Xenopus tropicalis: one gene and its partners. The protein of the gene in region 4 interacts with the protein of the main gene of each other region in a pairwise test. Links are inferred from orthologs where the notes say so. Each region holds a gene or a part of one and is shown on either strand. Other genes may lie near its edges.

Region 1 (3,287 bases), on a different chromosome or scaffold from region 4:
GACTTTATTGTGGAGACTTCATGCACTACATGTTTTACCTCAACAGCCTTCTTCAGGTGCTTGAAATGCATGAGGTCTCCACAATAAAGTCGCTGTGATGAAGCTATAAGGCTCATTGTGCTCTCCGGGTAACTGAATTATTGTATTTGATTTATACATGTTTACTCTGTATTCCTAAGCACCCAGAGATCAAACCAATGTAGTTGTGCTTTAGTACTTGCCCCATGAGGGGGGAGCTTTTTTTTATTTTTTGCTAACAGCACAATTTTGCAGAAAATTAGAGTGAACAAACTATAATTTAGAGAAAAAGAACTATATCAGATTCCCTAAAGTTCTCTCCAAATCTAAGCGGCTATGGAGAAACAGTGGCAGGGAGTAGATACATTTTATGTTGAATGTGGTCTCACCAAAGATGTCTACTGTCAATAAGTACATAAGCCGAGCATCAAAAGGTAACTAGTTTCCAATATTGGAATTGTGTAACAAGCTGTGAGGCACCTTTTGCTGTTGCTGCTATCTGCACCCTGTCCCTTCTGCTCACTTGTACACTGGCATTAACAATTGCCTAAAGAACAGAAGCACAGTTGAAGCATTGTGATACATTTTTCTTTTTTTATAAATCGAGGCAAATTAAATGTACACAAAAAAGCATCCATATAAAACATTTGTTTCTATGCACTGAGAGCACAATACTTATCCATCCACTGATCAACAGCACTCCAAGCAATTTAACATGTGCAAATAAATGATATAAAATGAGATACATTAAAAACTAAACAAATCCAACTCCAGTTTCAGTCACGACCAACATGTATGTAGAAACGTACCAATAAAAACGTTACCCGTCGCCGTTGCTCGGCTTTTTCAATACTTCTGATTTAAGATGAACTGTGGGGTATTTTCCCCTGATGAACAAGAACACACTATAGAAATGTTGTTGCTAAAGTACCAATGATGTACGTGTGTGTGTGTGTGTGTGTGTGTGTGTGTATATATATATATATATATATATATATATATATAGGCAAATTTTGCTGTCATTCTCTTCACATTTCCAATTATAATAACCGCCCATCTCTGCAAAGCGTTTAAATCTGTTTCTCTCAAACTGTGAGGCTATTTTTAAGATGTGAGTTGTCCCCATATGCACATAAGCATACATGGAGCAAAGTTGCTCTTCTTACAGCGTTTTCTGCAAAGGCAATGTCAAAAATATATATAACCGTAATCTTTACAGACATGCAAAGCCCTGCCTATAACTTCACAGTGATGATTCAAGTGGGTGAGATATCGGTGAAAACAGGGTTTAGATAACCTTAGGTGGGGTAAGCTGAGCCAAAATATGCCAGCATAATCCCTGCTAAGCGGCTATTACTGATGCATGACTGTTCATTGCAGGAAATACACATTCTTAAATGTGCTGATGTGTTGCATTAAATACATTGTGTCCAGCATCTAATAACTGTACTTAAACTATGGTTTAAAAAGCACTTGGGCAGATAGAAAGTATAATAATACATTTTAATGTTTAACAATGATTTAAAAATAGGCTTGTATCTCTTAAAGCTTCTTGACCGGTTACTTGCTGGAGAGAAATGCTGGTTTTGTTCTTTTACGATGAAATGTCTGAAACAGCAGAGCTTGGTCAGGTGTCCGAGAATGCTTTAGACAAAAGGAGCAAGTAGTATTGAGGAATGTTTTATTGAACAGTGCTGCAATGTCCAACTGGAATTGCAATGAAATGTGTGTACTGAGAAGAAATTCTTGCTGGGAAAATAAAGCGACCCGCGCAGTCAGCCAGAGCAATCACAGCCTGCAAGTGGTGCTATTTCTGGAGGTTAAATTGATCAATAAATTCATTTTGTTCAGCTTCCACTTTACACAGTGCCTCGTATTCTATTCGGTACCTGAAAGAAAGGAACAATAGAAATCATTATCCAGGAAGCTCCCAGATATAGAAGAGCCATTTCCCATTATGTCCTACTTATAGGGGACATCTGCACACCCATATAACTTCATTTAATATTGCTCTTATAGGCACATTTGCAGTTACCATATGTGTGTGTGTGTGTGTGTATATTATATGTGCGTTTTTTTTTTTTTTTTTTAATTTCATGTTAGCAGTTTTAACCCTGCTAATATAAAGAATGTGTAACCGAAGCACCCTTTGTTGTGGGGGCATTTTATATCTTATAGGGTGCCCCTTTCTCTACTCCAAAACATGACACATTGCAGTTATCCTCAACCTATCCCAGGCTGTGCCTTGTATTCATTATGTTCCATTCAAGCTAAACGTTTGTCTATAAATTATTCATGGAGAAAATATCTTCCTCCAGCTTTATATATACTGACAGACCACCGCCATCATCCTTCTTCAATTAAAAGGCTAATCCAGAGAAGTCTTGCTGCTGATGACAATTGGTGGAGCAAATAACAAAGTTGGTAGAGTTAATATTTGCACAAACTGTTCCTCAGGCTGCACCACCCACCTTATGCACAAATAAGCAAATAAATGCAACTTATGACTAAACTGAATACATACAGGCACAGGATTTGCCCATTGGTAAATACATACCTTTCTAGTTGCATTTTCTTCTCTGCTATTAAGGCATACAGTTGCTGCTGCTGGGCTTCTCTTTGCTTTGCTATAGATTTTAATAAGTTCCGGGCACCTATTGCCTATTAATGAAATAAATACATTATTATTTAAATGTTTGGCCATACACTCAGCTGATCATTGTGCTGTGGGACTACCAAGCACTATTCAAGACAAAGTATTTCTACAGCAGATTGATTGCTGTGCTCTGTGACCAAAGTGTATTACTAGCAGTTAAATCAAATGAAAAGCTGCATAGCATTGCATCTAAGAATGCATCGTAACGCATATATTGTGCTACTAAAACTAAGCTTGCTTTTGTTTACCACAAAACTCTCTATTGTATTATCAAGTGTCAAGTGCAAAAAATGCCCCAATGCAGAAAAGAAAACACGACTGCAATTAAAAATAAATTCTGACCACATAAGTACAAACAGACAGAATATAATGGAATTAATGAGCTGATGTGTTTAGCAGCGATTGAATAACCATGCATCAATATCTAGAAAACACCAGTGTATAGCGGCCTGCCTACGGTTTTTCTGTGACAATACTGTACGTGTTTGGCACAGTTTGCAAGAGAGTGCTTTTAATATTGCATGGGATTCTTTCTGCTTCTTACATGTTTATTTCTGTGTCTGGTGAGGTTACATCCAGTAGGCAGAGGACAACCATGCCAATAAACATGCTT
Region 2 (4,501 bases), on a different chromosome or scaffold from region 4:
TGTAATAATCTACTGTGCACTCTTTTTCATGCATAATCACTGATTATACAATACAGACTAAAGGTCCCCATACACGGACCGATTCTAGCTGCCGATTCGGCAGCTAATTGGCCCGTGTATGGGCACTACCGAAGGGACTGCCCGACCGATATCGGGCAGGTTTAAAAATCTAGTCGGATCGGGGACCGTATCGGCTCGTTGATGCGTTCCCCGGACCGACTTTGCCTATGCCCAGGGCCAAACGATCTAATTAGCCTGGATTCTCACGATTTTGCCCCCGGTAGGTGGGGGACATTGGGAGAAGATCCGCTCGCTTGGCAACATCGCCAAGCGAGCGGATCTTTAGGTGTATGGGCACCTTAAATATCAGGTTCACAATGTAAATAAAAGCACTGCAACCTTAAAGGAGAACGAAAGGTAAAAATCACCAGCCCGGTGTAGCTGCAAGTGAGTGTTCCCTCTTCCTTCTGAATCCTGGGGCCGGTGCATGCGCAGTAGAGTGAAAAAACCAACTTTTTTGTTAAAGTTCTGCTTTTCACTCTACTGCGCACAAAGACAGAAGAAGGAAGAGGAGATGCTTGCTCACAGCTACCCCGGGCTGATGCGGTTTTCTTCTAACAGAAGCACCAGCCCAGGGTCAAAAGTAAACAATAAGTCACTGGGGGGTGCCTAACATTTTGGCATCCCCCAGTGACATAGCCTTTCCTTCTCCTTTAAAGGGGAATTTCACATTTGTTAATTATGTTAGAGAATGGCCTATTCTTAACAACTTTTCAATCAGGATTCATTTTATATTCCTCTTACAGGTGTCTGTCGGACACAGGGACCACGCCTTCAAGTATAGCATCCACAGCCAGGAGGCAGGACACTGAAGAAGAGAAAAATATGCTCCTCCTCCCTGCTGCTATACCCCTCACTACTTCCTGAACCCTTCAGTTTTTTTCAGTGTTAAAGAGACAGGGTAGAGTGTACCAAACTCAACAGGGGTTGACCGAGCGAACTCCCCTCTTTAGTGGCTTCCCCTTGGTGGGCTCGCTGGTGCTGGGACTAACAACTCCTCCTAAGGAGCTGTCCACTGCAGAATCCCTGACTCCCAATCAAGGGGAGTCTGAAGCTGTACAGCATACCAGCGAAAGGGTAAGGTTACTATCCACCTTTACGCAGACTTTCTCAGGATGCTCCCTGAATACTCCCCTCAACTCTGCATTCTCCCGCTTTCCAACAAAGTCACCGCCCAGAAAACCCTCTGCTCTCCATCTGATCCTGAGGGCAGCACTATCAGGGCAGTACGTGCTTCTAATCATAACCATCCAGCAGAGCAAGAGACAGGCACTAGGGAGGGTATATTTCTTCACCATTTAGGAACAAGACTGATTCTAAGTCTTACAACACAGTCTTACTGAGGGCAGTACTGAGGGATCATTCTCAAGGAGGAGCTTTTCTCAATCCAAGGGTAAATACCTTGTTTGTGCAAAATTATAAACATTCCATGAGGAATGTCCCTACCCCAGTGAAAATATATATATATATATATATATATATATATATATATATATAATTCATCAAACTCAACAGTAGAAAGCACTCACAGCTACAGCATCAATCAGGTCAGTGATTTATTTCAGCATACCATCTACGCGTTTCGATCACCACAGGATCGTCATCATCCTGATGACGATCCTGTGGTGATCGAAACGCGTAGATGGTATGCTGAAATAAATCACTGACCTGATTGATGCTGTAGCTGTGAGTGCTTTCTACTGTTGAGTTTGATGTATTATTTTTGTCAGCACCCAGCCTGTGCCCGATACTGGTGAGTGCCGATTCTTTGCAACACTATATATATAATTCAGTAGAAAATACTATCATTACCTCTTTGTTATACAAAACTGAAGGGTTCAGGAAGTAGTGAGGGGTATAACAGCAGGGAGGAGGAACATTTTCTTCTTTAGTATCCAGTCTCTGGGTGGTGGATGCTGTATCCCGTAGACGTCTTAAGAGAAAAGAATTTAATGATAAGTAAAACAAAATTCTCTTTTTACATTCTTGAATTATTTGACTTGCTCTTCTGCTCGTTTCCAGCTTTCCATTCGAGGGGGGGGTGCAATTTAAATGCAATCTTCACAATTCCCAATATTCAAGCACCGCTTTCTACGGGTTTAACTATACAACCAGCATTCCCATGCGTTCTGGTTTGTCAGGGTGTCATAACATCACAAACTCATTATACAGAGAGCGTATTTCTGGGCTGCTAGTGTGTTTTACAAGCTTGTCCCATGAAAACAGTGACTTGGCATAAACAAGGTGTGCTAAAGTTAAGAGGTTTTTTTTATGTTGTTGTTTAGTCCAAGAAATAACAATAAACAGTGGTTTCTTAATTTAAACAAAAGACAAAAAGTAAGCCTAGCACAAGCCCTAATTATTGAGCTGTTTGAAAAAGGTTAAAGGGGTGGTTCACCCTTAAGTTAACTTTTAGTATGTTATAGAAAGGCCAATTCTAAGCAACTTTTCAATCAGTCTTCATTATTTGTTTTTCATAGTTTTTTAACAGAGTAGTCACAGTACTCACACCTATTCTCATTTTCCTTAATCAGGAAAGTGACACAGTGAGTGTATATACGCGTATATACGTCAAAGCTAGAGAAATATATAGAGCTCTGACACACAATCCAATTGTTACCAACATCTTACAGATAGGGAAAAGGCAAAAAGGCCCAGTGCAACCCACGGTTATACTATACAGTATAATATCAACACTCCTGCGCATAATGCTTTGTGGCCTAATCATGTTGCTATTAAACCTAACCTGAGTATTAGGCGTGCATTAGCATATATGCCTCTATACCGTCGTATAATTGATAACACCGACTAAATATAAAGCCTGCCAACTATACTGTGCCCACCACTTCCCAAACCTACCAGTTGCTCTCGCTCTTCTTCTACCTCCGCGCTGTATCCATGGTTGCTAGGAAACAACTGGCGCAGCCAAACTACGTGTGCGAGTGGTGACGCAATATTCTGGGCGCCGCAGGAAAAGAAGGCTGGGTTTGTCCGACCGCTGCTATAGTAACGGAGGTTAGTTCTTACAAGACTGGCTGCATCTAACAAATTACTCTAGCTACTGAAAAAAATTAATTTGGGATATTATTTTTGTTTAACAAACATAGTTTCCGTTGCCCTTTTATACGTTAAAACACGTAGAAAATAGGGTTGATGTTTTGCACCTGTGAAGTAGAAGAAGAAAAGACGCTAGCCATTTATATTCTAGAGGGGAAGTAACAGTGTCAATATTATCGGTGCAAAACTGCATATTTTCATCTATAAATAATGGAAATCAGCGTACCCTATAATTTCTTGAATACTATTTGAACAAAAATCATTGCATGCAGGAAGTTGGGGGTGTTTTCATGCAGGACTGTGTCAAAACGTTTGGCAAAGTAGATCACATCTACTACATTTGTCCTCATGATGATATGGCTGCAGCTGCTGTGGAACGATTGTTTGCTACCTTGAGGAAACCAAGGTTTTCCAGAGAATTGCCCAGGTGTTGGACATACTATCTAGCCTTTTCTCCATATGGTCTGTATTCTGTACAAATAAGTAGTATCTGTTTAATTCTAGTAACTCTCCAGTCTTAGCAAAATAAAGTTCTGAATGGTTCTTCCTTAGGATCTATGACCACATTTAGCAATTTCTGTAGCTTTCTGGTGTGCTGGGAATTTATTGCTTCATTTTCAAAGGTATTCATCATGTGCTAATTGTCTATATATGTATTTTATACCACAACAATGTGCATATCTAATTCAATATTTTAACATTTTTATACTTTTACTATACATGTCTAATAAGTAACCATTATCACCTCAACTCCCTATTTATTTCCATAAAGCATACAGTATATGCTAATGCCCTGGTTTTAAAAATAGCTCATTGCAGTGCAGGTAAATCATTGGTGGGATTTGTGTATTTTAAGCACTGTGAAAGGTTAAAGTGACTGGCAAATTCTGACTAAGACTGCTTTTCTGTTTACCTGGGCAACCCTCTAAATGCATATGGGAGGGAGCACACTCCATTATAATAGACAATTTTTTCCCCTAAAAATGTCATACATTTTGTTTTTAAGGCTTGTTCAGAAGTTTAGCTCTGAACAAACCTTATAAGCTCTTGTTGTTTTTTTTTTTTAAGGCTTGTTCAGAAGTTTAGTTCCCTGTTGCATTTAAGGGGGAGCATGGCTGAGGAAGAGCCAATCTCTGTGGATTATGAAGTGTTTGGAAAGGTACAAGGTGTTTTCTTTCGCAAGTACACCCAGGTAATTTGACATCCAGGTACCATTATTTCATATCAATTCAGTTTACCCTTTTCTTTATTTACAGTGTATTCCTCTGTCATGTATATATTAGGCCAGTGAGCAACATGTTTCTCACCAAACCCATTGATGTTATTCCCAGTGGCCTCAAAGTAGGTGCCAAATTTCTGGCTTGGAGAAAAATTTTGGAAGCAG
Region 3 (4,660 bases), about 11 Mb from region 4:
TGCAGCCTTGTGCCTTTATATGGGGGGCACAGAACCCCTCAGTGACTGCTAATATCCTTATCATTTACAGTAGGGGGTACATTATCCCTTATAATACATGAGTGATACTCAGAGTTCCCTGTATAACTCAGCCTGCAGCCTTGTGCCTTTATATGGGCACAGAACCTCTCAGTGACTGCTAATATCCTTATCATTTACAGTAGGGGGTACATTATCCCTTATAATACATGAGTGATACTCAGAGTTCCCTGTATAACTCAGCCTGCAGCCTTGTGCCTTTATATGGGCACAGAACCCCTCAGTGACTGCTAATATCCTTATCATTTACAGTAGGGGGGACATTATCCCTTATAATACATGAGTGATACTCAGAGTTCCCTGTATAACTCAGCCTGCAGCCTTGTGCCTTTATATGGGCACAGAACCCCTCAGTGACTGCTAATATCCTTATCATTTACAGTAGGGGGTACATTATCCCTTATAATACATGAGTGATACTCAGAGTTCCCTGTATAACTCAGCCTGCAGCCTTGTGCCTTTATATGGGCACAGAACCCCTCAGTGACTGCTAATATCCTTATCATTTACAGTAGGGCAGTGCTGTCCAACTTCTGCGGTGCCGAGGGCCGGAATTTCTCTCGCATACATGGTGGAGGGCCGCTAATGGAAGCCAGTTTTGGCCACTCCCCCATTTTAAACCACACCCATTTTATCACAATGGTCGCTGCAGGGATATCAACCATCATTCATATGTTAAAGAATTATATTATGTCATATTAAGACATACCCTTAAATCCATATGCCTCCTCCCCTGTGTGTAGCACAGCAACCCCCAGCACATAATTACACACCTTAGGGACCATATAATGACTATTTCCAACTGCTAACAAACTCCCACAAACCCCTGCCAGGTTCACCTCCCACAGGCAGCATAGGGTAGGCAGAGTATGGCACACACAGGCAGCACTCTGCCTGTCCTATGCTGCCTGTGTGTTCCATACCCTCCCTGCCCTATACTGTCTATGTACCATACTATGCCTACCCTATGCTGCCTGAGTGTGCCATACCCTCCCTGCCCTATGCTGCCTATGTGCTATACGCAGGCAGCATAGGCCAGGCAGTACATACAATGTCTGAGGTGTGAAGAGGTGAACAATGTGGGTGATTACAGCCTGAGCCTGAGGTGTGAACACTGCAGGGGTAGAACAATGCAGAGATTAAAAGGTGTGAACAACACAGGGGATTACAGCCTGAATCTGAGGTGATAACCATGCGGGGGGCAGTTAATCTCAGTACTGATACCATTTAAAGCTTACACAAAGTTAAGCCATCAAAGCAGCCAGACAGGTGGGGGGCCACACAGAGGGGGGTCGAGGGCCGCATGCCGCCCGCGGGCCGCCAGTTGGACAGCCCTGCAGTAGGGGGTACATTATCCCTTATAATACATGAGTGATACTCAGAGTTCCCTGTATAACTCAGCCTGCAGCCTTGTGCCTTTATATGGGCACAGAACCCCTCAGTGACTGCTAATATCCTTATCATTTACAGTAGGGGGTACATTATCCCTTATAATACATGAGTGATACTCAGAGTTCCCTGTATAACTCAGCCTGCAGCCTTGTGCCTTTATATGGGCACAGAACCCCTCAGTGACTGCTAATATCCTTATCATTTACAGTAGGGGGTACATTATCCCTTATAATACATGAGTGATAGTCAGAGTTCCCTGTATAACTCAGCCTGCAGCCTTGTGCCTTTATATGGGCACAGAACCCCTCAGTGACTGCTAATATCCTTATCATTTACAGTAGGGGGTACATTATCCCTTATAATACATGAGTGATACTCAGAGTTCCCTGTATAACTCAGCCTGCAGCCTTGTGCCTTTATATGGGGGGCACAGAACCCCTCAGTGACTGCTAATATCCTTATCATTTACAGTAGGGGGTACACTATCCCTTATAATACATGAGTGATACTCAGAGTTCCCTGTATAACTCAGCCTGCAGCCTTGTGCCTTTATATGGGCACAGAACCCCTCAGTGACTGCTAATATCCTTATCATTTACAGTAGGGGGTACATAATCCCGTATAATACATGAGTGATACTCAGAGTTGCCTGTATAACTCAGCCTGCAGCCTTGTGCCTTTATATGGGCACAGAACCCCTCAGTGACTTTTAATATCCTTATCATTTACAGTAGGGGTACATTATCCCTTATAATACATGAGTGATACTCAGAGTTCCCTGTATAACTCAGCCTGCAGCCTTGTGCCTTTATATGGGGGGCACAGAACCCCTCAGTGACTGCTAATATCCTTATCATTTACAGTAGGGGTACATTATCCCTTATAATACATGAGTGATACTCAGAGTTCCCTGTATAACTCAGCCTGCAGCCTTGTGCCTTTATATGGGCACAGAACCCCTCAGTGACTGCTAATATCCTTATCATTTACAGTAGGGGGTACACTATCCCTTATAATACATGAGTGATACTCAGAGTTCCCTGTATAACTCAGCCTGCAGCCTTGTGCCTTTATATGGGGGGCACAGAACCCCTCAGTGACTGCTAATATCCTTATCATTTACAGTAGGGGGTACATTATCCCTTATAATACATGAGTGATACTCAGAGTTCCCTGTATAACTCAGCCTGCAGCCTTGTGCCTTTATATGGGCACAGAACCCCTCAGTGACTGCTAATATCCTTATCATTTACAGTAGGGGGTACATTATCCCTTATAATACATGAGTGATACTCAGAGTTCCCTGTATAACTCAGCCTGCAGCCTTGTGCCTTTATATGGGGGGCACAGAACCCCTCAGTGACTGCTAATATCCTTATCATTTACAGTAGGGGGTACATTATCCCTTATAATACATGAGTGATACTCATTGTCCCTGTATAACAGGACTGACCGCTTCTCTATGGAGTCGATGTTGGCGTGTAGAAGCCAGAGCTCCTCGCTGTTGTCCTGCCGGGAGCTGAGGATGAGGTGGTGCCCGGTGAGACAGAGGGTGCCCCACACCGGGGAGTGGAAGGGCCGGTGTAGAACCACATTATCCACCCGAGGAGTCTTAATCAGCTCGGCGAACTCCATCCCGGCGGCGGGACAAGGCGCTAGGGAGAAATCACTGAGCGGATTCCCTCAGGCTCATTCCTGTCAGTGAGACACCCAGCAGCTCCGGGTTCCGCCCAACGCGCATGCGCGGCCACCGAGCCGGAAGTTTACAGACCCAAAGCGGAAGGGGCGGGATAACCCGCGTCAACTTGTGTTCTGAGGTAGTTTGTGCCTTCAGTTTCCCAAGCAGGGGAGGCTTTGCACCAGAAGTGGTTAGACTACTATCTATACATATAGTTTGTAGAGCAGTATTTGTTTTTAACGCACTGGTTTGGAAACAGTATAGCAAAAAACATTTTCTCTTCAGCTCTGTATAGGGAACAAAGCGATGCATAACTCCCAACAGTTGAAAAAAAGAAATGACTGTAGCTTGGCAACATTTTTGTGACCACGCCCCCTAAATCCCACTCCCATATGACTCCATTTGGCAGGTTATTTATAGTTTCAACACATTTCTGGGGGGGTCCTGTTTTATGTGTTATTAGAGTTTGCTAATGAAGGTGAAGTTGCCCTTTAATGAGTCTCCGTTCCCCCAAGAGACCTGTTTAGCTTATTAGTTACAATTGTATCTCAGTGCAGGGGGGGGGTTTACCTTTCTGGGCTCTGCCAAATGCTACTTATTTAATTAAATGTGGGAAACACTGTATCTAAGTGCAAGTTAAGATTTCTGGGCTCTCTGCCAAAAGCTACTTTTAATTAAATTTGTATCTTTTTTAGCTTCAGTGCAGGAGATCAAAGGGAAATGAGGGACTTTTCAGTGAGAATCCGAGACTGTCCAGCGAATAATAGGACAGTTGAGAGTTATGGTTACAATTGTATCTCAGTGCAGGAGGTGAGTATTCTAGGCTCTGTCAAAAGCTACTTATCTAATTAAGTTTGAGAAACTTTGTATCGTTTTTGACTTTCAATGGGAAATGAGGGACTTTTTAATAAGAACCCAGGACTGTGGGCTGAGCTGTTAAAATTGCGACTGTCCCAAAAATATCTGGAAAGTTGGAAGGTATGAACATAGGTCAGAGACTCACCACTCAACCCAACCACTAACCTATAAAATGTAGGAGGAGGATGCACTTCCCCAGTCTGACCCGCACCCTGCCCAATCCTGCAATCCCTGCCCAATCCTGCAATGGCTGCCCAATCCTTTCAACCAGCAAGTAAACCCAAACATCACTGTAACAAAGGCAGATACAAAGAACACATCCCCGTAAACATCTAGAAGGCATTATATTTCTACAGGGGTATCTAATGCTGTGGCACCTTCCATGGCAGGGTAATCCAGTCTGGGCTTGGCATGGAAACAGTTACATGGGCAAAATAAGAAGGGAACATTGCTTATAGGAGACATTGCTTCTAGCCCTAGATTATATGGGGTATTGCTTCTAGCCCTAGATTATAGGAGACATTGCTTGTAGCCCTAGATTATAAGGGGCATTGCTTCTAGCCCTAGATTATAGGGGGCATCGCTTCTAGCCCTAGATTATATGGGGTATTGCTTCTAGCCCTAGATTATAGGGGGCATTGCTTCTAGCCCTAG
Region 4 (4,475 bases):
TACCACCCCCTGGGCTCCCCTGCTAGCAATTACAGAGTAGAGTACCACTCCCGGGCTTCCCTGCTAGCAATACAGAGTAGAGTACCACCCCTGGGTTCCCTGCTAGCAATACAGAGTAGAGTACCACCCCTGGGCTCCCTGCTAGCCATACAGAGTAGAGTACCACCCCCTGGTTCCCTGCTAGCAATACAAAGTAGAGTACCACCCCCTGCTCCCTGCTAGCAATACAGAGTAGAGTACCACCCCTGGTTCCCTGCTAGCAATACAGAGTAGAGTACACCCCCCTGGGCTCCCTGCTAGCAATACAGAGTAGAGTACCACCCCCTGGGCTCCCTGCTAGCCATACAAAGTAGAGTACCACCCCCTGGGCTCCCTGCTAGCAATACAGAGTAGAGTACCACCCCCGTCCCTGCTAGCAATACAGAGTAGAGTACCACCCCCTGGGTTCCCTGCTAGCAATACAGAGTAGAGTACCACCCCTGGGCTCCCTGCTAGCAATACAGAGTAGAGTACCACCCCTGGGCTCCCTGCTAGCCATACAAAGTAGAGTACCACCCCCTGGGCTCCCTGCTAGCAATACAGAGTAGAGTACCACCCCCTGGGCTCCCTGCTAGCAATACAGAGTAGAGTACCACCCCCCGGGCTCCCCTGCTAGCAATACAGAGTAGAGTACCACCCCCTGGGCTCCCTGCTAGCAATACAGAGTACAGTACCACCCCCTGGGCTCCCTGCTAGCCATACAAAGTAGAGTACCACCCCCTGGGCTCCCTGCTAGCAATACAGAGTAGAGTACCACCCCCTGGGCTCCCTGCTAGCAATACAGAGTAGAGTACCACCCCCTGGGCTCCCTGCTAGCAATACAGAGTAGAGTACCACCCCCTGGGCTCCCTGCTAGCAATACAGAGTAGAGTACCACCCCCCGGGCTCCCTGCTAGCAATACAGAGTAGAGTACCACCCCCTGGGCTCCCTGCTAGCAATACAGAGTAGAGTACCACCCCCTGGGCTCCCTGCTAGCCATACAAAGTAGAGTACCACCTCCTGGGCTCCCTGCTAGCCATACAAAGTAGAGTACCACCCCCTGGGCTCCCTGCTAGCAATACAGAGTAGAGTACCACCCCCTGGGCTCCCTGCTCACGTAGTAGTTCAGATCTCACGTTTTCCAGCTGCAGAGAATCAGCACATGTGGTTTGCACTACGGCCAATACCTGGAGCTCCAGTGGCCCCCCCAGTACCTCAGAAGCTTTATACATGAAATGACTGGCATGCTGGGTACTTACCTGTGCCTGCTGGCCGCCCGAAGTCCATTTTGTGCCTGAGTTACCCCTTGTGCAGTCATCACTTGGGTTTGAGGGGCAGCTCCCCCCGTATAAAGGTTATAGCGGGAGGGGAAGTTTGTGGGGTGCACCCCCCTCACATTTATACAGATTACACAGCTGAGTAGGAGCAACAGAGTCCTGACGCCCATTTTTAGGGCTGAGAATCAGCAGAGCAAATGCCTGAAAGAGACACAATGTATTATAATCCCACAGCTCCCGGCAAAGACCCAGCGGTCTCTCAGCAGAACATCAGTGGTACTGATCCAAAATGAGCCTTCCTCAGTGGTCAGTATGAACGTATAGGGATTAGAATCACCTTCAGCAGTCCCTATATCCACATGTAGACCAAATGACCTCTCCAGTGGTTTCTATATCCTGCTGTAGATCAGAGCGAGGTCTCCCGTGGCCAAAATATCCTCATAGAGATCAGGGCGAGGTCTCCAGTGGCCAATAGATCCTCATAGAGATCAGAGTGAGGTCTCCAGTGGCCAGTAGATGCTCATAAAGATCAGAGTGAGGTCTCCAGTGGCCAATAGATCTTTACAGAGATCAGAGTGAGGTCTCCAGTGGCCAATAGATCCTCATAGAGATCAGAGTGAGGTCGCCAGTGGGCAGTAGATCCTCATAGAGATCAGAGTGAGGTCTCCAGTGGCCAATAGAACCTCATAGAGATCAGAGTGAAGCCCCAAGTGGTCAGTAGATCCTCACATCAGAGGAAGGTCTTCAGCTGCAGTCTGAAAATGCTCCCTGGTGGTTCCTCCAAGCAGATCCACAGGACTTCTTTGTGGGCTTGGTTCCTCCAATCATGTGCCTCCAACATACAGACTCCGTAACCGTTACAGTCTGCAGCCCCCACTCACCTTTAGATCAGAGAGGGACTATTTTGTGCTCTCCCTTCTACTATCTCCTCAACATCTCCACATTGGTGAGAGTTGTCTCAGTGCTGATGTCTCCCCAGGTCTCAATGCTGATGTCTCTCCAGGTCTCAGTACTGATGTCTCTCCAGGTCTCAGTACTGATGTCTCCCCAGGTCTCAATGCTGATGTCTCCCCAGGTCTCAGTACTGATGTCTCCCCAGGTCTCAGTGCTTATGTCTCCCCAGGTCTCAGTGCTGATGTCTCCCCAGGTCTTAGCTCTGATATCTCTCCAGGTCCAATTAGAACTCAGCGTTAGTGCCCATGAAGCTCCCAGCTGGACCAGTCGTGCTCAGTTCCAGATGTGCCCCGTGACCCGTCGGTGTGTTCTCGCTCAGGACTCCCCAGTGAGACTGCAGGGCTACTATTTGTAGACAGTTGTTGTCGTCACCAGCTGCGGTCACGTCTGAGAGTAGTTGAAGAGACACAAGCAAAGATGGACCCAGTCGGTCGGTGCTGATCCAGTTGCAGCTCTCGTTCCCGGGATAAGTTTGATGGGAAGTTTAGTTAATTGTTGGGGTGTCGTTATCTCCCCCTGCACCCCTGACTGCTGTCACCCCCAGCACAGAGAGACCCCCAGCCCGAGCCCACCCCAGCCAGCATCCAGCACTCCAAGGAGACAGTAATGAGATTCCCCCATAGCAAGAGACTGACCAGGAGGGGGAGGAGAGGAGGAGAGAGGGAAATCCTAAAAGGAGAGAAAGATGCAGAATCCCCCCCCCCCCCCCCCCCTTGGCCAACTTCCTGCCCCGCTCTCAGGATTAGATCCAGATTAACCCTCACAATGCTCACTACTGTGCAACCCCGGCTCCCCCCCCTCGGCCAGACTTGCCCTAATGAGCCAGATGTGGCTTTGTATCAGTCCTTGTAAGAGCCCAATGTGCCCCTGGATTCTGGGGGGGCTGCGGGCGCTTTATGGGGTTACGGTGCTCATGTGACCCCCCCCCCGGTGCTGTAGCCCAGGCACAGGGTAAATGCCCTTGGGTGCTGGAACAAAAGTAGAACAAGAGGTGCCTGTTACAGGGACCCCCACCCAAATCCCCCTATGCACTAGTGCTCAATCCAGCCAATCAGCAGGCAGCATTCTTTCCCCAGAATTCCAGCCAATAGCCAGTGCCCGCAGGCTACCGAGCAGCACAACTCACCCCGGCTGGGGCACCATTATTTGTATGTGAGTCACTAAGTGCCAGTCAGTTGCACGTGGAGGGGCAATAAATGCTGCCCAGGGCAATACTACTTGGCCAGGTACCCCATTAGCCCATTCTCCCCCACTAATTCCCCCCAACCCACCGCCGCTATAGCACCTCACAACTGTAACTGGTCTGTGTGCCCTGGCAACCAGCAATGGCACCCTGAAAGGAACATGTCCCTATGGAAGTCATCCCTTCACCTAATGCCAATGCATCCCACGTATGTAACATATATACAGTATGTCCCACGTATGTAACATATATACAGTATGTCCCACGTATGTAACATATATACAGTATGTCCCACGTATGTAACGTATATACAGTAAGTCCCACGTATGTAACATATATACAGTATGTCCCACGTATGTAACATATATACAGTAAGTCCCACGTATGTAACGTATATACAGTAAGTCCCACGTATGTAACATATATACAGTATGTCCCACGTATGTAACATATATACAGTAAGTCCCACGTATGTAACATATATACAGTAAGTCCCACGTATGTAACGTATATACAGTAAGTCCCACGTATGTAACGTATATACAGTAAGTCCCACGTATGTAACATATATACAGTATGTCCCACGTATGTAACATATATACAGTATGTCCCACGTATGTAACATATATACAGTATGTCCCACGTATGTAACATATATACAGTATGTCCCACGTATGTAACATATATACAGTATGTCCCACGTATGTAACATATATACAGTATGTACAGTAAGTCCCACGTATGTAACATATATACAGTATGTCCCACGTATGTAACATATATACAGTAAGTCCCACGTATGTAACATATATACAGTATGTCCCACGTATGTAAACCATAATAACAGTATGTCCCACGTATGTAACATATATACAGTATGTCCCACGTATGTAACGTATATAAGTATGTCCTACGTATGTAACGTATATACAGTATGTCCTACGTATGTAACGTATATACAGTATGTCCCACGTATGTAACATATATACAGTATGTCCCACGTATGTAACATATATACAGTATGTCCCACGTATGTAACGTA
Region 5 (4,643 bases), on a different chromosome or scaffold from region 4:
ATTTGTCCAGTAGTGTTTGAAAAATGGTTCAGCTATGGAAAGCAATAGAACAGCCTCCAGTTACATCTGTATATATGTGCAGATAAAATAATGAACAATCTGTGCACTTAAATTAATAAATATAAACAGATTTTAACCTTCATTATTATAAAAGGAGTAGGAAAATGAAAATGTTAGGCACCCCAGTGCTTATATTCACTTACCTGACACCCCGGGTTGGTGTTCCTGTTAGCAAAAACACCGCACCGGCCAGGGGTACATGCAGGTGAGCAGTCCTCTTCCTTCAGTCTTGTTTCCTGAGTCAAAAAGTCTTCTTTTTTGTGAAATTTGTGAATACCATCACTGGGGGGTGCCTAACATTTTGAACATTCCTTCTCCTTTAAGGCATATACATATATATATATTTTAATATACATGATTTTTTGTCGAAGTAAATAAAAATGTTGCTTTTAATATGTTGTATACAAAATGTGATACAGCTGTTGCTGTTAATATCTTCTATAAAAGTAACTAACCTATAGTACATCAGCATTTTTGGGGCTGCTGTCACCCCCACGCGATCTGCGCTTACCTCTTCACCATCAGAGTGGGTCCAGGGGAGAAGCCACATCACTTAGCACTTCTTGCACTAGGGGAGCCAAATTTAAAAAAATAAAATTTGGCTCAAAGTTACCAAAGTCATTTTTTGTTGCCCTGGGTAACTGGCGGCTCAATGCCACCTGAGTCAAGGTTCTCATCTTGCCTCAATGGCAGAATTGCCCCTGCTATAGTAAGCTATTTTTTACCTACTTTTGGATAAGCTACTTAGGCAGGTTTAATTTTAACTTGAAAGGTTAAACTTAATGGACACGTGTCTTTTTTCACCTAAGTTACTATGTTGCTATTTAAGCTACAGCCATGTATATTGAATGCAAGTTACTAGTAACAAGCTATTAAAGAATTTGAGACAAGGTCTGAGAGGTTCCAGTGTGGGGCTTGTAAGTAACCCATATCGCATACAAACATAAAAGAAAATACATTTTGGCTCTTAAAAAAACTGAAAAATGCTGGCATTCATTATATTAACAGGAAACCCAAAAAATAATTTAATTCTAATTCTCTTTTTCAATATACATTATTGATTTTTACTGGTTTTAACTGTAAATGTATTTGCAGAGAGCATTATTTTACTGTATGTCTTATATTGCTGGATATGACTCTTGAAACAATGTAGTAAATTCCAACTCACCCCCAGCCAAAACTTGTTTTTTCAGCTGGCTTCTGCTACACTTCACTAGTCACTTCCAGCATGGGAGAATTGCAAGGGTTAGAGACATACTGCTCAACAGCAATTGAAAATAATTTGACAACTATCGAAAAATTGTAATTAGGAAATATTTCTTTTTGGGTTTACATCCCCTTTAATGTTATATGTTTTTTTTGTTCTATTTTTAATTTATAACAGGACCATGACCATAACCAAAAGGGTTAAAAAGTTTGATTCTTTTTACCCACTTTTCCTGAAAGGTTAAAGGCTGGCTTTTGAATTCCACGCACGCCCTGTGTGTATAAATACAGAGGGGAAGCTAGGAGTCACTCTGGATTCTTGCCAGCTTGCTGAACAACTGGGTCTGCTGTTTGAGAACTTTAAAAAACAATCCAGGCAGTTATGTGATTATTTCCTCTCCTTCCAGTTACAGGCAGGCGGCCCCTCTCCTCTCTCCCTTTCTGTGGCAGAGTGCTGCACTATATCCATCCACAGAATTCTGCTGATCGGAGAGCCTGAATCTCCTTGACTTTATTACTGGGAGTGAATTTTATACCTAACATCAACATGCGTATTCTTCTTGCTGCTGCTTTATTATTGCTGGGATTATTGGCTGGCAGTTTTACAGGTTAGTACAGATTTAAAACTGTTATAGTTAATATGTGGTTCGACTCAAAACTATGTTTCTTTCAGACAGGCAAACAAAGCAACTCTAAGGCTATCTTATCATTCAGTACTTATGTTTTTTGAGTTTTCAGTGACATACAATTTAACAAATAGATCATTAACAAGCATTGTTACATCTGTCAGATACAGTAACACCTCTTATACATGAAGTAAAAAGGCATGGATGGCTATTGGCTTGATTCTGTCACATTTGTCACATCACACTGAATTTTTGACTAATGGCAAAAGTTATTGGCACAGTTATTTCCAAAAAGTAGTACTCGTTAACGAATTCATGTAGCAACATCTAGCAAGCCTAATTCAGTGTATGTAGAATGATACTGGTAATAAATCTGTATTATTGCTAGTTTTGGTAAATCCTGAGGCACATTCTGCATTCAGATAAACACTATGGCTAAACAAATACAGTATAAGCATTTTATGTAGCCAAAAGTACCCTAAAAACCCTTTGTCACGTCATCAGTAGAAAGATTTACTGCCGAATTCTGGTGTCTTTGGAAGCAATGTCAGTACTAGAACTATTTGTTGGAAGGATGGCATTTTTAAGAGTGAACAGCTGCACACAAGCCTAACACAACCATGTGCAATGCAAAGCTTTGGCTTGAGAATAGTAAATATTGCCACCATTGGACGCTGGAGCAGTGGAAAGGCATTCTCTGGAATGACAGGTCATCATTTACTATTTAAAATTCTGACAGATTGTTTTCAAAGGATTCCACGAGAATGCTGGCTAGTGGAATGATTAATGCTGACCATAAAGTTTTGTGAAGGTGGAAACATGTTTTGACAATCCTTGTTATATGGAAAGAGTTTAGGTGGATGGCCCTTTTCTGTTGTAGCCCCTATACACAAAAGAAGAACTGTTTTGCTATGTCTGGAGTGGAACTTGACTGTCCTGAACAAAGCCCTCACCTCAACCCAAATGAATACCTCTGGGATCAGGGGCCTGTTGCCATGAAACAAGTTACTGTGGCAGCAAATATCCGCTCCTGATAACTTCCGATTTTTAAATTGGAATTTTGGCTCTTGTAGTGCACCTCTGCGATACTTTGAAAGGTAAGCATCAGGTGCAGGGGGGGGGGGGCATCTGAAAGACCACCTTAGGGCAGCATAGACCCCAGAAATGCCCCTGTCCAGGATGAAATGAGATGCCAGCTGCATGCTAGGCCTGAACACTCAGTGTTACAGGCCTAATGCCCTTGTTGATAAATAGAAGCATCATCCCCCCATGCACAACAGCATTTAGATGAAAGCAAGAGTTAAGAAAAAAGAAAACACTAAATGAAGGACCAACTGTATATTAATACCATTGCTGGGAAAGCAGGTGCCTGGTTACTTGTAGCCATATAGTGTTTAACCATTGACCACTGATAGTATAACCATTGACCCTTTAGGATATTTCCTCACTGACTATATTCCTAACATTCATACATCCAGGTTTTACAGATACTCTGTGTCTTTAGGTCCCATCTGTGTGCTCCCACTTATCAACCAATACTCTTTTGTCTTTTTTTAATCCCTTGGGACATTTCTGCTTAAAAGGCCCCAATCTTTTCCACAGAGCATTGTACCTTTGTTCCTTGTAAGTTATCAGGGCACATTCTACATTTACATTTTGTTCCATTGCATCACTCCTTACGTCCACCAGTGCCTCGTCTTGTAATCATAATTGGTTTTACTCTCAAGAACTAAGATTTTGAAAGTGACTTTTTGACCTGTGGAGGATAAAAGGAATCATATCTTAATAGCATATTCATCTCCATTTCTTTAGTAAAGAAAGCTGTGTGCAAAGTCTTTAACCTCCAAAAAAGGCTTCATGTCCAATATCAGGCTAGAAAAAAAAATCTAGTTATTATGTTGCTGCTGACAATACCAGAGCTTGAATGTCTGACAAGTGTTCTGCAAGTCATATAAAAATGTGGGTGAGGCATCCAAAGCATTACTTTCAGCCTCTGGCCCCTTCTGTGATGTGTACCCCATAGGAGAGTCTGTCATCTCCTGTTTCTCAGACCACTTTGCTAGCCGTCAAGGTGCATATTCCTGACAGACAGGGTCACTAAAAATGGAATAAAGGGCCATTTGCTCAGTGCTGCCATATCCCTTATTTTAATCAGGTAGGTTTTTTTTAGATGATGGCCTCTTTAAACAAGGTGTAGATACCTTTGAATGCATTCTACCATTCCATAGTGGGTCACTCTACAAAGGAAACATGATGGCTCCAGGCTCAAACACCATATCCATAATTCATCCAGAGGGTTGCTTCTCAAGTGGCCCTGCCATCCTGCCTGCCTTCACTACAGTTTAGAACTCCAGCACCACCTCTGCTGCAATTTGGCCTGTTTGGTCAAGTTAGTGATGTTTACTTCTGTCCTTAAGCTCCCTTATGAAGACGAGCCACATGTCTATGTCCTCAAACCCTTAAGATATGTCTTTGTAAATGGCCTTCTCTAGACAGAAGGCATGCAATGTCTAAATATTTGAACTAAGGTAAACACTCATTGGATGTCTTCTGTTCACCACAACTGTAAATCATTTTAAACTGTTACTAATGGTTTTCAGAACCTTTTTTTCTGATTTTCTTCCTTCTTTCCTCCCCTTACTTAACAAATTTTAGAGAACGTTTGAAACTAATTCAGTACCTGCTGGCTTTTTCACAGCCTCTGGAGCTACCCGCTCTTCCCCTTGGGTCCCTTTTGTTGTAACATGTTCC

The links.
Region 1: the proteins of emilin1 (region 4) and ift20 interact in binary tests that used the Homo sapiens proteins (3 or more experiments, as listed by UniProt). The two-hybrid records come from large-scale screens. The link is inferred for Xenopus tropicalis from reciprocal best matches to the Homo sapiens genes EMILIN1 and IFT20.
Region 2: the proteins of emilin1 (region 4) and zc2hc1c interact in binary tests that used the Homo sapiens proteins (3 or more experiments, as listed by UniProt). The two-hybrid records come from large-scale screens. The link is inferred for Xenopus tropicalis from reciprocal best matches to the Homo sapiens genes EMILIN1 and ZC2HC1C.
Region 3: the proteins of emilin1 (region 4) and mtmr9 interact in binary tests that used the Homo sapiens proteins (3 or more experiments, as listed by UniProt). The link is inferred for Xenopus tropicalis from reciprocal best matches to the Homo sapiens genes EMILIN1 and MTMR9.
Region 5: the proteins of emilin1 (region 4) and plac9 interact in binary tests that used the Homo sapiens proteins (3 or more experiments, as listed by UniProt). The two-hybrid records come from large-scale screens. The link is inferred for Xenopus tropicalis from reciprocal best matches to the Homo sapiens genes EMILIN1 and PLAC9.

What each region holds. Positions count from the first base shown.
Region 1 is NC_030678.2:47,406,925-47,410,211, forward strand, and holds the end of ift20 (intraflagellar transport protein 20 homolog), read right to left. Parts: intron 2,680-3,287; coding exon 2,576-2,679; intron 1,908-2,575; coding exon 1,826-1,907; 3' UTR 1,015-1,825; exon of another isoform or gene 981-1,014; 3' UTR 599-980; downstream 1-598. UniProt on the Homo sapiens protein: Part of intraflagellar transport (IFT) particles involved in ciliary process assembly. May play a role in the trafficking of ciliary membrane proteins from the Golgi complex to the cilium.
Region 2 is NC_030684.2:82,251,315-82,255,815, reverse strand, and holds the start of zc2hc1c (zinc finger C2HC domain-containing protein 1C), read right to left. Parts: upstream 2,961-4,501; coding exon 2,944-2,960; intron 1,994-2,943; coding exon 1,873-1,993; intron 869-1,872; coding exon 805-868; intron 1-804. Other genes in the region: acyp1 (acylphosphatase-1), read left to right, coding at 4,229-4,309.
Region 3 is NC_030681.2:150,907,892-150,912,551, forward strand, and holds the start of mtmr9 (myotubularin-related protein 9), read right to left. Parts: upstream 3,215-4,660; 5' UTR 3,106-3,214; coding exon 2,924-3,105; intron 1-2,923. UniProt on the Homo sapiens protein: Acts as an adapter for myotubularin-related phosphatases. Increases lipid phosphatase MTMR6 catalytic activity, specifically towards phosphatidylinositol 3,5-bisphosphate and MTMR6 binding affinity for phosphorylated phosphatidylinositols.
Region 4 is NC_030681.2:161,480,808-161,485,282, reverse strand, and holds the start of emilin1 (EMILIN-1), read right to left. Parts: upstream 2,832-4,475; 5' UTR 1,467-2,831; coding exon 1,279-1,466; intron 1-1,278. UniProt on the Homo sapiens protein: Involved in elastic and collagen fibers formation. It is required for EFEMP2 deposition into the extracellular matrix, and collagen network assembly and cross-linking via protein-lysine 6-oxidase/LOX activity.
Region 5 is NC_030683.2:53,034,869-53,039,511, forward strand, and holds the start of plac9 (placenta-specific protein 9), read left to right. Parts: upstream 1-1,574; 5' UTR 1,575-1,813; coding exon 1,814-1,874; intron 1,875-4,643.